2 linked regions of the Schizosaccharomyces pombe genome follow. The gene in region 1 interacts genetically with each later gene. Each region holds a gene or a part of one and is shown in the gene's direction. Other genes may lie near its edges.

Region 1 (8,365 bases):
TGGCATTCAACCTATCATTATGCGCGATGGGAAACTTGCTTTGAACCCCGAGTTTTTCAAGAATGCAAATGGAGAGCAACAGGCTCCCAACGAGCAAGCCGTTCAAGCAATTTCACTACTCCAACAGCACATTAATAAGCAGCTAGGACCTGCCGCTGCCAACAACCCGGAGCAAGCCACAGCGATTGCGAATGCTCTCGCTGTGGCTTTAGCCCAAAAACTTCAAAAGCAGCAAACGCAAATGCAAGGGCCCCAACAAGTGCAACAACAGGCAAAGCGTCGTAAAGCTTATACTTCACAGCAACTTAATCCGGCGCCGACTGCAATGCCGCACCCTAACATAACATCACCGTCTCCTAGTATCTCAGTCACTCAACGTCCTGCAGTAAACGTTGGACCACCTCCATATGTTAGGCCATCTGCTCCTTCGAAGTTACCAGATACACGCCAGAGTATTGGAGACCCGTTACCCCCAGGAGCAATGGCTAATGTGTCCGCGGGGCCATCGTCAGTTCGATCATCGTCGTACAACTCCACTGCTTCTGAAAGCAAATCAGAGATAACAAGCCATCAAAATCTACACACCATACCAATAAACAAACCATTCACTTCTGATCGGCCTTTATACTCTTCGCCTAATGATACTTTAGAGAGAGTTGAAACAGGCAATCAAGGACAAAGGATGAATTCCATTGGAAATGCATCAAGCTTTAGTAAAAGAGATATAATGGAAAACGAAAATGGATCTTTTGATACTAATGCAAAGAACGGAAACAATGTTGACGACTCATCTTCAGTAAGGGGCATGAATTTACCATCAAACTCAAGCGACGCTTTACGAGGAGTAAAGCGACCGTTGGACGAGACATCATCCTCTTATACCTGAATTTACTAATGCTCATGCACGTAACGTTGTTGATGACTTCTTAATTAATACATTAGTGCCGAAAATTACACTTACCAGCATGCATAAGCTGTTTCATTTTTCTTTTTTTGACAGTGATTGCACAACTTGGTCTTTGGGTGGTTTCTACTTTTATTTCTCATGTGTTTAATGTTTACCTTAGTTAATACTTTACATAATAAATTGCCGTCTGGTTTTATTTCATTTAATAAGCATTTTCGTTTTCTTGTCGAAAAAGTTAATAGCAAAGCAGGAAGGGTATGGAGGATTCGCTTTTGTTATCTGTGAACATTAGCGATTCCTTATTTACGTTTTCATTGAAACCTTTGTTTAGCCAATACAGAAAGCATATTTACTTCAATGATTGTTTTTATAGCACTTTTAATAAGACCAAAACTATTATTGTTGTAATCCTGTCGGGCAAGCTCTCTGATCTGATAGACTTCAAAAGTTACATTGAATTTGTTTTGAAAACAAACAACTCATATTCAGCGATTCTAATTTCTTACTATAGATGTATATTTATCATATCACTTTTCCATAGACCGCTCACTATTCATTTCTTAACTAACTTAACTCACGGATGTACAAGAAGCTTCACAAAATAATATACCGAAACACTGGAAAACGCAAGCTATGTTGCATCGTCAAACATTCTACTCTCTATTTTTTTATGCGCTTCGATAAACCCCATATTATGGAGTCAGGGCATTGCGTAGTACATTTTATGACGTATGAGTGAGCTAATGCAGGCATCCATCCATTTTAGTCCAACGCCTCAGGTAGACTTTAAACATACATCTCAACCGTAACAAACGAAGGTAAATAACTGATTTGTATAGCTGAATTCAGCTCTTTTATTTTGGAAAATTTACCTCTTGTGGTTGATTAAAGTGTCAGGAAAAGCTGAAGCGAACAAAAACCGCGAGATTGTGATTCACTGAGAGTAAGAAACAAAAAACCGCATTTTTTGAAAGAAAGGCACGTAAACTTTAGGAGACATGTCTTTCGAAGAAGTATATGAGGAGCTAAAAGCCCTTGTTGATGAGCAAAATCCTTCAGATGTACTTCAATTTTGCTATGACTTTTTTGGAGAAAAGCTGAAAGCTGAGCGCTCAGTATTTCGTCGAGGTAAGTAGATGCTTCTGGATAGCTATGTTTAGTGGAGAGGAAAAGTAAATGATGGTCAATATGGGTTCTTTTTTGTGGTTTTTTACTTTGTTTTGCTCTATAGTAAGTATTTTCTAAATTTAGTCAGCAAACAGCAATTATGATTCCTGGCTGTTAATAATTCCACAAAGTTGTTTAAGGACCCTGTACCCATTTAATCTCCCACTCTATACTACACAAATTTTACCCTTTTTTGTTTTATCATGTTAACAAATTTCTCTTTTAGGCGACACCATTACAGAGTCTTTTAGCGACGGAGATGAAAGCGATTTCCTGTCTGAGCTCAACGATATGGTTGCTGGCCCCGAGGCAATTGGTCCGGATGCCAAATACGTTCCTGAATTGGGAGGATTAAAAGAAATGAACGTTTCATATCCGCAAAACTACAATCTGTTGCGTCGCCAATCTGTTTCCACTGAGTCGATGAATCCTAGTGCATTTGCACTAGAGACCAAACGAACCTTTCCTCCGAAGGATCCTGAAGATTTGAAAAGACTAAAGCGCTCAGTTGCTGGGAACTTTTTGTTTAAGAATTTGGATGAAGAACATTACAACGAGGTTCTGAACGCTATGACTGAAAAACGGATTGGAGAGGCTGGTGTTGCTGTCATTGTCCAAGGAGCAGTTGGAGATTACTTTTATATTGTGGAGCAAGGTGAATTCGATGTATACAAAAGGCCCGAACTAAATATTACCCCTGAAGAAGTGCTTTCGAGTGGTTATGGTAACTACATAACTACGATTTCTCCCGGTGAATATTTTGGAGAGTTGGCACTCATGTATAATGCTCCACGAGCTGCATCGGTGGTCTCCAAAACACCAAATAATGTAATTTACGCATTAGATCGTACAAGTTTCCGTCGTATCGTATTTGAAAACGCATATCGCCAGAGGATGCTGTATGAAAGCCTCCTTGAAGAAGTTCCCATTCTCTCAAGCCTTGACAAATATCAACGACAAAAAATTGCCGATGCTCTTCAGACAGTCGTGTATCAAGCCGGTAGCATCGTTATTCGACAAGGCGACATTGGTAACCAGTTTTATCTGATAGAGGATGGCGAGGCTGAAGTAGTGAAGAATGGCAAAGGCGTAGTCGTTACCCTAACCAAGGGAGATTACTTTGGTGAACTAGCTTTAATTCACGAAACAGTGAGAAATGCGACGGTACAGGCAAAAACTCGCCTGAAACTTGCTACATTTGATAAACCTACATTTAATAGACTACTTGGTAACGCGATCGATTTGATGCGTAATCAACCTCGTGCCAGGATGGGAATGGATAATGAGTATGGTGACCAATCTCTTCATAGGTCACCTCCATCAACTAAAGCATAAAATTTCTATAATCTGTTTTCTTTGAAACTATCTTTGTAATAATGACCTGTCATGATATGCTAAAGAATTTCCCTGTTGTTTGTTTGCCTTCTAACTTTTTCATATTGGTCATGCATGCATGTGATTGTTTACCATTATCCCTGGAATAATTTACTTATTCATGTTGAACATGTTTTGTTTGGATTACTTATCTAATTCAGCATTATATGTGATAATGTATATATACGTATTATTCTTTTTTATTTCTTTGAAAACCTTTATGTCTTGTTCTAGCATGGCACTGGATATGGTTTGTTAATGTTTTAATTCCAATTATATTCGTGATTACCACTTCACTGTTCTTATTTTGTTTTTTTTTTTCTTTTTGAAATTTCCTTTTTTTTTTATTATTTTTATCTGTCGAATATCGCAGCATTTGATGTTTGGAAGCTTACCGTTTAGTTTGTGTTTTTTTTTTCGTACGGATCATGACAGTTATTTTATCGTTCTCTTCATCCTGTTTTTTTTTGTTTTTTAATCGATATTTGATATCGTCAAATATTTCTATCTATATGGAGAGTTCTTATATTTGTTTTTTGAATAATCACACACTCTTCAAAACAGCAGCTGCATTCAATAATGTACTTGGCATTGGAGTAACGCACATTATACAAGAATTACCGTGGTCCGTAAACACTTGCAAGCATGAAATACTTAGAAAGCTTTAGGCAGACGCTAGACGTGGGGAAAGGGATGAAGTGTTAAAAATTCAAGAGTGTGGATGTTTTGTATGCAAACTGAGTGAGTTCTCGGTTTTTGTAGTTACGTGACATAACTTTAAAAATTTTATGAGAAATTGACTAATATCAAGAATTGAGAATAGTTTTTTAATACAATACACAAAATTTTTACCAAGTTTTGAGTAAAGGGGTGCAAATTAGATGAAACTACAGTCTGCGATAAACGATACGTGTAACTAGGAGAATGCAAATTGTGTAAAAAACTTATAAAACGAATATCTTGTTAGACAAATAAATTCAGCAAAAAGCGAAAGGACTTTTATTCAATTATCAAATCCGTACGAAATGGGATACAAAAAATTTTAAAGAATACTCAATTTCGTACATTCAATGTTCTTGCGAACATAATAAATAAAAAAACGACTACAGTTGCGAACTATGCGTAAGGTTTTCTTAAACAAGAAAAATTTTTTTCCCCATATTCCATACTACATATTTACTGTGAATGTTCTTAGTAGGGTAGGTTATTCACAACAAGCACAACGGGTAGAAATGACAATTACTGCAGAATAAAGTTAAGCACTCGAGATAAATTGTAATATTAAGAAGATGATCAGCGAAGCAATGTTTTGGTAAAGAAATGTTTTGTTTTGTGTCTTACTTTCGTCTGAATTAACTTTGTTTACATATGCATTTTTTCACTCACATAACAGGGTTTCGTATAAATTCTAGTTACGCCAAGATTTACAACTTCTACCAACCACCAAACAAGAACGCAGAGCGTGTAAAAGTAGAACAAAAATTGAGTTGAATATGACCACGAATCCCGATATTGTTAAACAGACGAAAAATGAAATTCACCAAGTAACGTCGAGAGTCCAGGAGAAGCTGGATTCGAAAAGTACCAACGCGGTCGAGCAGAATAACAATTCTTCCCAGGCGTCCGTCACCAAGGATAACAAGAAGAAGGCCGCTAAACGCGCCAAAAAGAAGGCTGCAAAAAAGAAGAAGCAGTCAGCAGCAGCATCTGCCTCTTCCACACCTGTGGAAGAAGCTCAGCACGCGCAAGAGGAACAACAAGAACAAACCATATTACAAGAGCCAGGATTTACACAAACTATAGTGGAGAAAGACGCTGATCAGGTTGACGAGCCTTTGGAACCCATAGCATCCTCAGCTCTGGGTACTGTAGAGCCGCCTACTGACAACAAACCCTCTGCCTCCACGTCAACAGCAGTGCCAACTACGGAAGCACGCAATACAAGTATTACCGAACCCGCCAATTCCCCTTCCTCCTCCTCCTCATCCGCTTCTACAAAGTCTACTGCAACCACACAATCCGCTGATTACGTCGTAGCCGAACATTTCGCACCCCAGCGCAATGACGAGCAACTCGGTAATTCCCCAGCTTCGATTACGTCTAAGCCAGCAACGACATCTGCTGCGCAACCTTCTTCGAAAGTAGAGGAAAACATGGCGAAAGCTACTTCACAACCCATTACTACCGCTGAGAAAGAAATTCCAGAATTGAAGCCCATTGAGCCTGAAGCTATTATGATATCGAAAGAAATAAATACTACGCATGATCAGGCAGCAGCTACGACAACAGCAGCAGTTGCCTCTGCCTCTACTACTGCCACTGCTGAGTCACATGCAGTGGCCGATGGAATTATGAATGATAACGTACTTGAAAGCATTGGTGAAAACGTTCAGCAAGAGACGGTTTTCGAGGATGCGAGCGACATTCCACATGCAGATGTCATCCCCCATACCACCACAGTAACGGTGGAAGAAGAATCGCCCATCGCCCTTGGCCAGGGAGGTGTGACGCATGAGGCAACAACCAGTGCTAGAGCTAGTGCTAGTGGCATTCCGGGAGCATTTGAAGAGGTGCAACAAACTGTACAGGAGGACCTTCCTCATCCCACCGCCGAAACGGTTGAAATCGCGAGATTTGCTGAACAACCCGTCCGTGCTCAGCAACCTGAGCAATACGAGTCTTCCGTTGTCCAAGAAGCTACTGAAACTGTGACCGATGTTGGCAAGGGTGTCTCTTCCACTGTCAAGAACGAGGTAAATGTCCCCTCGACCATTCCCACCGAGTCTGAAAACCCAGTGGCCGTTGGAGGTACCACTGCAGAACACCCAGTGCAAGAAGCTGTCACTGCCCCTACCGAGACTGCTCATGATTTCTCCAAGGAAACCACCACTGCTTCCAAAAGGGTGTCAAAACATGACAAGGCGTCCGCCGAGAAACATAAGGTTGCCAGGAAACCCTCTTCTACTGGACAAGAGCCAACGACTCCTTCCACGCCTGCCAAATCAGCCCAGTCCTCCAAGCATGCACGTAGACCTTCAAAACAAGCATCTGCTCCCTCCAGTCCCGGTACTACGTCGGCTGCTGTACCAGGAGGAAAGAAGTCCGCTATTGAAGCTGCTGCTCCTATCCCGACTTCTGCTGATACCGTCGAGTCTAAACATGCTGCTGGTTCTGGTTCTGCTACCACCATACCTTCTCCTGGTTCTGCCACCACCAAACCTACTCCTGGTTCTGCCACCACCAAACCTACTCCTGTTTCTGCTACTGAGGAACATGCTGCCGGCACTACCAAGCCAGCTCCTGCTGCTGGTGCCACTGCGACAGCTGAGAATGAGACGGCTGATGGAAAGGCACAAACCGCCACTGATGGTGAAGCAGCTCCCAAGAAGTCTTGGTTCAAACGTATGAAAAAGTCTTTTGGCAAACTGTTCCACTAGGGTTTACCTGGAAGCATTGGGCATATGTTTGATTTCCGTCTTTTATTTTTGTATGTTGAAAAATTCACCTTTTAGCGACATGACGGTGTCGATGATGATGATGATGATGATGATTTGAGTGAGTGAATGAGTGTTGCTGGGCTATTTGTTTGAAATTGGATTATTGATGTTTAATTATTCGACAATAAAGCCGAATTGTTGATCTAACAATCGATCGTTCATTATTTTGCTGTTTTGTATTCCAGTCTTTTTCTTTTCAAATCACTCATTAGTTTCCATAAGTTGGTTTGGGTAGTCTTAATTTTAAAAAATCTCCATCTTTGTATTTAAGGATTTTTTTTTTCGTATTTAATTGCTTTCCATTATATCACTTTGGATATTATTGTGTGATCGACTATGCCACTGAAGTGTTTGCGTTATGTTTTCTTTGATTTTGTTTGTAATGATTTGACTAGCATAACATGCTGTTTTTTCAAGTCTTTATACCTTTTCCTCTTTGCTATGTGCTTTCTTTGCGCATGTTGTTTCTAAACTATTCATGCAGCCATATGCGCACATATATACACATAAATTTGCTGTACATTGCTCAATCTTTTAAGTTGATTCCGATGGTACGGATTATACCTATTAGATTCAGCAATTCAAGTTTTGCGAAATAAATGGCTTTTACTATTTCAGTTTACTCGTTTCACTTGTGTAAGTTTTCTTCCTCTCCCATGTTTTCTTTTTTTAATTTTTTTAGTCTGGGTTAAGTAAGTGTAGAATGTAAGTTTATATGGGATTTTGAGGCCGTGGAACTTTTTACGCTTCGGATACCCTTTAGTTCTAGTTTTGGGATACATCGGCTCACAATCACCATTTCCTACCCGATACCCTTTCCCGTACTATTCCGTATGCTTGCTTTACATTAAGTTGCGCATGTACTAAGTATTTTAAATAGTAAATTAGACCAGTGTATATAATTTAAACAAATGACAAAATCTACATGGCGGTTGAAAACATTAACTTTTAACAATTTTTCCATGAATCGCTTATTTTTGAGTATATTTCATATTCATCCCGGAGTCAGCCATGACTTTTTACCGCATAACGTAGCTGTATTTTCCTTTTTATCTAAGATCGCCGACTCAATTATTATATGCCATAAATTTTCTATTTGATAACAGTATAATATACCCTTTACCAAACACACTACCTGCTATATAGAATTTTTTGCTTTACTACTATTAAAACTACTTCTGCAGTTTTGTTGTCGTAGTATATATTATTGTTGTTATTATTAATAGTCTTCGGTTCTGTCCATCCTTCGTTACCTTTTTTTTTTTTGAACAGTAGAAAACATGAAGGCAGTAATTCAGCGAGTTTTAAATGCTTCTGTTTCTGGTAAGTATTAATCAATATATACTAAGTTTGGACGGATTTTATAATCGGTAATAAGAAAATAAATTATTAATAAACTCAATGTTTATGAACTTATTTA
Region 2 (5,552 bases), on another chromosome or scaffold:
AAAGTAGGAGGAAGGGGGTGATAAAGTAAAGTGGGGATAAAGTAGAGAAAGAAGTAAAGGAGATATTAGAAGCGGCGGGTAAAACATGCACTAAAAGAAGTATATGAAAAGAGATAGTATAATCATAAAGAGAAAGAGGTCATAGCAATTCTCATGCAAGATAAAGGTCTAAAATTCGAGCTAGAGACAAGCTAAGTTAAAGGAGTGAGTTTAGGGATCATCGAAGATGATATGCTGGAAAGATGTTGGGTTGAGGAAGCGAATGATTTCAAATCTACCAATATACAAATACAAAAGCCATTGAGGAAAGCGAATGAAGAAGTTTACAAAATAATTTAATAAATAAATTAATAAATAAGAAGAAGGAAAATTAGAATTGTACTATGTTATATAGTAGTTTTGTTTAGAAGGTGTAATGGAGTTTAAGAGACAAAACTATGCTTGCGATCCGAGTCAATATACAAAGTTAAAAAGAATGTATAAGTGAAAGGAAAGACTGTTGATAATAGGATAATTGTTTGTATTTCGTTCAAAAGACTATTTATCGGTGGGGCGATAATTAGATTGATATAGCGATGATTCTCTCGTTGAAAGATGCCCCATGTCTTATTGTGCCCAAAAAATTTTCGCTTCCAGAAAATGTCACGTTCATATACATAAATGTTTCCCCACTACATTTTTGAAGGCGCTAATTTTGCTGAAAAGTAAATCCGATTTCGGTGGCTTTAGTATAGTATACAGGAGGAGTGGGTAGAATATTTTGCCAGTAAGTAAATAGTAAATTAGGTCAGATCCGAGACGGGAAGGCAAGAAGAAGGATTGAAAAAGGTTCAAGGAGAAGAGATTCATGAGAGCGATCGAATATCGTTACCACATATCGATCAAGATTATTTTTGTTTTGATTTTTTACTTGAAATCTGGGAACGCATTGCACTAGCAAGATTGCGCGACGCAACGTAACGTATCCTACCGCAACGATTTCATACTAAACGTCCTGTTAAAGGGACAAGCTCGTTAAGCTGGTACTGCTGCAATATCAGCACTCGTTTCAAAGTAGCATGTTGCTCGTAAATACGATATTCTTAGATGACGATGATCCATGCATGACTGATTAATAGTTCGTTTCTTAATTAACGAAGGTGGGTGTGCCCGCGTTACTTAGCTTGGCAAAGGATGAAAAAGTTTATACATGTGTGTGTGTCTAAGGGCATTGCAATTCCATCGCACATATCAACCAAAGTAGGTAAACCAGAGAACCCTTTAAAAAAAAAATAAAAATAAAAAAAGGCTTTCTATTAGCCCGGTAAATGAATTCGACGGATGACTGTCATGATCGATGAATAGTTGGAGTTAGCAATAAAAAAAAAATGAACGATAAGCGGCTAATTTCACATCAAAGGCTCCCGCGTTTCTATACGGACCGAAACACCTGCCGAGGCACGTATCCACTTGTTAAAACAAAAAAAAAACGAAAAACAGAAAAATAAACCCTCAAGAAAGGAATTCTTTCTTTCTATGAGTGTAACAAACATGGGCACTATGAAGATTGTAGACTTTTTAGATAGTACAATAAATAAGATTGCTACGTTCTTCTTGTCATATAATGTAGTCTGATACTTTTTTTTATCGCATTTCTACCGCAGTTTCCCGGGACTTCGTTACGCATGCTACTGCTTTTCAGTCGTCTATCCTACTTACTGTTACTGCTAGTGTGCGCTGCGGGGTGCTTTTGGTTGGCGGAGGTACTCTTGTCTTTAGCCCGCTACACCTGAAATCCCTAGTTTGCCCCGCTCCCCATTGTTCGACCTCGCTACCCTCAGAGCCATTTGATTGACTTTACATTTGGCTTTGTTTGTTTTCCTTTGGTTGGTGAAGGGTTAATTAGAATTTGAATTTCTCAGATGAGAGGGGGGGCTAAACAACGCACGCGTTTTCACCTTCTCCTCCTCTTCATCCCCATCTGCTTTGCTAAGAGATCCATTTCTTACAAATCATCCATACATCCTTAAACAAACTTTCTGCATCTCTCATTCTAGATCGTTGCAAACTTAGTTAACGAAGTTTGTTGGATTTAACAGTATGTGATGCTTAACAACAAGGTTACATACTTGGTTTAGTAGTTTTGGGGGGAATTAGGGGTTGAACCTTAAATGCTTTACCGGCATCAACTCGCTGCTAGATTTTGGTTAGGACTGGTTCGCGAGCGAGGCCTTACCTCCAAATTAGCCTGGTTAATCCCCACTTTATACCGTCAGTGCAAAGCATGCCATTTCGTCACGATTACCCAATGAACCAATGAGAGGGTTTGCCCTTGGAAAAAGCCTTAGGCCATATGGGAGTCATAAAATTAGGAAACTGGAGAAAATCCACTTTACCCCGCTTTTGCATCGTAAGTAAACAATGGGGTAAATCACCTAGTTTCAAGTCGTAAATTTCTCTTCCTTTACTTATTACCCCAAAAGCAGCAATTTTCACATTTTTTCAAGGCCGAAGGTGGTTGCAGCTTACTTGTTGTATACTCACTTGAATTCATATCGTTGAGCTTGTCCTTTTGTCTACTAGAATTCTCAGCTCTCCTGTTTTCTTCCTTGTCAGTGTTGACGGTTTTTTCTCCTTTTTTTTTCTTTCTACGTGTCTCAAGCTCTTCTTCCTTTCCTCTTGACACACAAATATTATTAAATTAAACAAAAAATCCTTCTCATCTATTTTCCACTCTTCAAGCCTCGTAGACCGCTGCTTGCCTTATTACTTCCAATCGTCTAGTCTGTCGAGTCGTTCTGCCTTTCATAGCCTCTGCCTTTTCTTCTATTGGCATCAAATTTCAACTTTCTTGTATCCCTCGACGTATTTTCAGTCTGTAATCGTGCCGTAGCACTCTTTCACCCTTGGTTTAAGCACATCTCCTTGCTAGCAATTCGCTGCTTCTTCTCTTGCCCCATTGCAACTAATTTCGTTTCTACTTTCAAATTTTTGTTTTTGTTTTTCTTTCCTTGTGTTTTGTTGTTTCCTAGCGCTGGTCTCTTCATTTTTTTGCTTGCCAAGGGGTTTCTTCGATTTCGACTAAAAACCTTTCATATTTACTTCGACGGGCGTTTACTTGTTTCCATCTGCTGCACAATCGCCTTTTTTTATTACGGCTAAGACACGAACTTTAGATTTTGAACTGTGTGAGTAATCCCCGATTACTCAATTTTAATACAAAGAATAAAGATTTGTCGAAAAAGATGAATGAAGCCTCAACTTCATTTTAGCCTTTTCTTTTTTATTGTTATACTATAAAAGCTTTCTTAATACAAAGTTTATCTACTTCCCCCACAATCTTAATTCTTTTTTTTTACTACTTCCTTCTCGACAATTGCCTGCTTGATCCGCTGGTTCGCGTGTATTCCCGTTGATTCGTGCTTAATTTGGAATCGGCCTTTTCCACTCTACTAATCTTTACCTCTAGTAAACCTTTCCTTTAATTTGAGAATATAAGAAATTCTCTGTCTTTATTTAAGTGCTTTTTGGTTCTCCCGCAAAATGAAAAGTTACGAATGCCCCTTTTGCAAGCGTGTTTTTCATCGTCAAGAACACCAAGTCCGTCACATTCGGAGCCACACAGGTGAAAAGCCTTTCGAATGCAGCTATCCAAGTTGCAAAAAACGCTTCACGAGAAGAGATGAATTGATCAGACATGTTAGAACACACTTGCGAAAGGCCCTTGTTACTCCGGAGCAGACACTGGATGTCAACCTCCACAAAGCCCCTGATTCGAAACCGGAAGGTGACAAGTCTACAGGTCAAGAAGCTGATAAAAGTCAAAATCAAAGCAAGGATGGCTCGATTACTGACCCGGTTCAAGCCGCTGTACTTGCTCTTTCAGTTGCTTACGCCAAACCCACCTCTGTCTCGCTGTCTCCCACCGACTTGCAAGCCCAATCTAAGCTAATTGAAAAACCAAGAAGACGTTCCGCCTCCAATGCCACCGGCTCCTTAAATAAAAAAAATCAAGATCCTTTGAGACGGTTTTCTATTTCAGAATCAGCAGGCGCTGCTGCTCCAACTCCTTCTCCCTCCAATTCTAAAAGTCCACCTTCCGAAAACAGAAAGAATCGTTTACAAAACGTTCTTTCACCAATTGCTAGCAACAACGTCCCTGATTTTAATCAGAATTATCCTACAGAATCGAATCCTATGTTTTTATCAACACCACGCTTCCAAAACACTAATGGACAGCGTACCTTGACCGTTCCCGTGTCTGTTTGGGATGCTCGTCAACCTCCTACTTCATCCCGTTCAGGTCTACCTCTTTCAGTGATGTATAATCATTTCCCGTCCGTCCCCATTCCTCCAGCGACTGTTAATGACACAAGCATGGAATATTATCTTCCTAATGCTTATCCTCATCCTACTGGAATTTCTTTACCCTTTTATCCATTCGACAGTGGTATCCCTGTTTCGCCCAACATTCCGGTTTCTCCTAGTTCATCCTTTGTTCCAATGTATCCTACTACCTTTCCGTCAAGTAAACCACAGATTGTTAACGCACCTCCCGCCCCTTCCTACTTTTCTCCAGGCAGTTCATTTGGTGCACAACTTTGCGCCAACGGCTCCACATTACTAAGGGCCGATACTAAACAGTACGGCCTTGCTTTACCAAAGATAACTAATTCTAACTTAATAAGTCCAAATCAGACATTTAATCCTGTTAAAAGCAGTGTCAAAGCTCTTCCTACCCTGGAGCCTCCTTCAAGTCCGTCTCACGCTACCGCCACCTCTTCTTTGCATACCTTGTTCCATACTGCTCCTTCCAGATCTTATGATTAAGGTAGCTATTGAAGCCATGATAGGTGAATGAATCCGCTCACTTATTTACATTTTGAAGTCTTTTTACTGATCGTTTTTTGGTTCTTAACCGAGGTAACACCTTGTAAAGTATTGTCCTATCCTCCACAATTTTGAGGTAACATTTCCGCAGCTTAAATTCTGAGTTTATGATGACGTCGAAAGTAGGTTGCAACAGATTGCGACTGTTTCAACTTCCTAGTTTCGTTTACCCTCTTCGTCTTTAATAAACCATTCAATTTTTTTTACGTTTTTTTTTCTTTTTTTAAAAAAACTAATTATATATACCTTTTTTCCTTTTTACGCTTACCTGAAACGAAGAAATTGACGTCTTTGGTTCCTTCCTCCCTGACTGACTTGAGTTGCCCAGGTCTGTGACAAGCCAGTTGGAAAGCTAGCTAGCTATCCCATCCGCACATTGTTATATATTCACGTCCTCGGAAATCCAACTTCTTTGCAAATTCTTATAAAAAAGATCTTACTTGTTATAAACCACGAGTTAATGTAACAAACACGTTTTTGTTTTAAGTTCTTCATTTCACACTAACGGCGCGTGCTGCTTGAGTTTGTTTTGAGAAAAGTTACCTTTGGAAACATCTGTGTTTACTACTTATTTATTTGATTAACGACTTTTCATTACCATCCATCCAACTTCATCATCCCTCTTTTATTTTTTTTGACGTAAAATAATTTTAAAACATTTGGCTTCTGCCTTTAGTTTCAAA

The links.
Region 2: of cgs1 (region 1) and rsv1, extra expression of one rescues a mutant of the other (dosage rescue), as found in Schizosaccharomyces pombe (one study listed by BioGRID).

Annotation. Positions count from the first base shown.
Region 1 is NC_003424.3:3,641,334-3,649,698, forward strand, and holds cgs1 (cAMP-dependent protein kinase regulatory subunit Cgs1), read left to right. Parts: upstream 1-1,695; 5' UTR 1,696-1,905; coding exon 1,906-2,035; exon of another isoform or gene 2,036-2,300; coding exon 2,301-3,409; 3' UTR 3,410-4,303; downstream 4,304-8,365. Other genes in the region: DNA-binding forkhead transcription factor for ribosomal proteins Fhl1, read left to right, coding at 1-886; SPOM_SPAC1142.09 (uncharacterized protein), read left to right, coding at 1,165-1,512; SPOM_SPAC8C9.04 (uncharacterized protein), read left to right, coding at 4,942-6,885; dtd1 (D-Tyr-tRNA deacylase), read left to right, coding at 8,226-8,268.
Region 2 is NC_003423.3:2,884,928-2,890,479, forward strand, and holds rsv1 (DNA-binding transcription repressor Rsv1), read left to right. Parts: upstream 1-3,522; coding exon 3,523-4,809; 3' UTR 4,810-5,052; downstream 5,053-5,552. UniProt on the Schizosaccharomyces pombe protein: Involved in maintaining cell viability under glucose starvation conditions. May have a role in regulating genes involved in gluconeogenesis.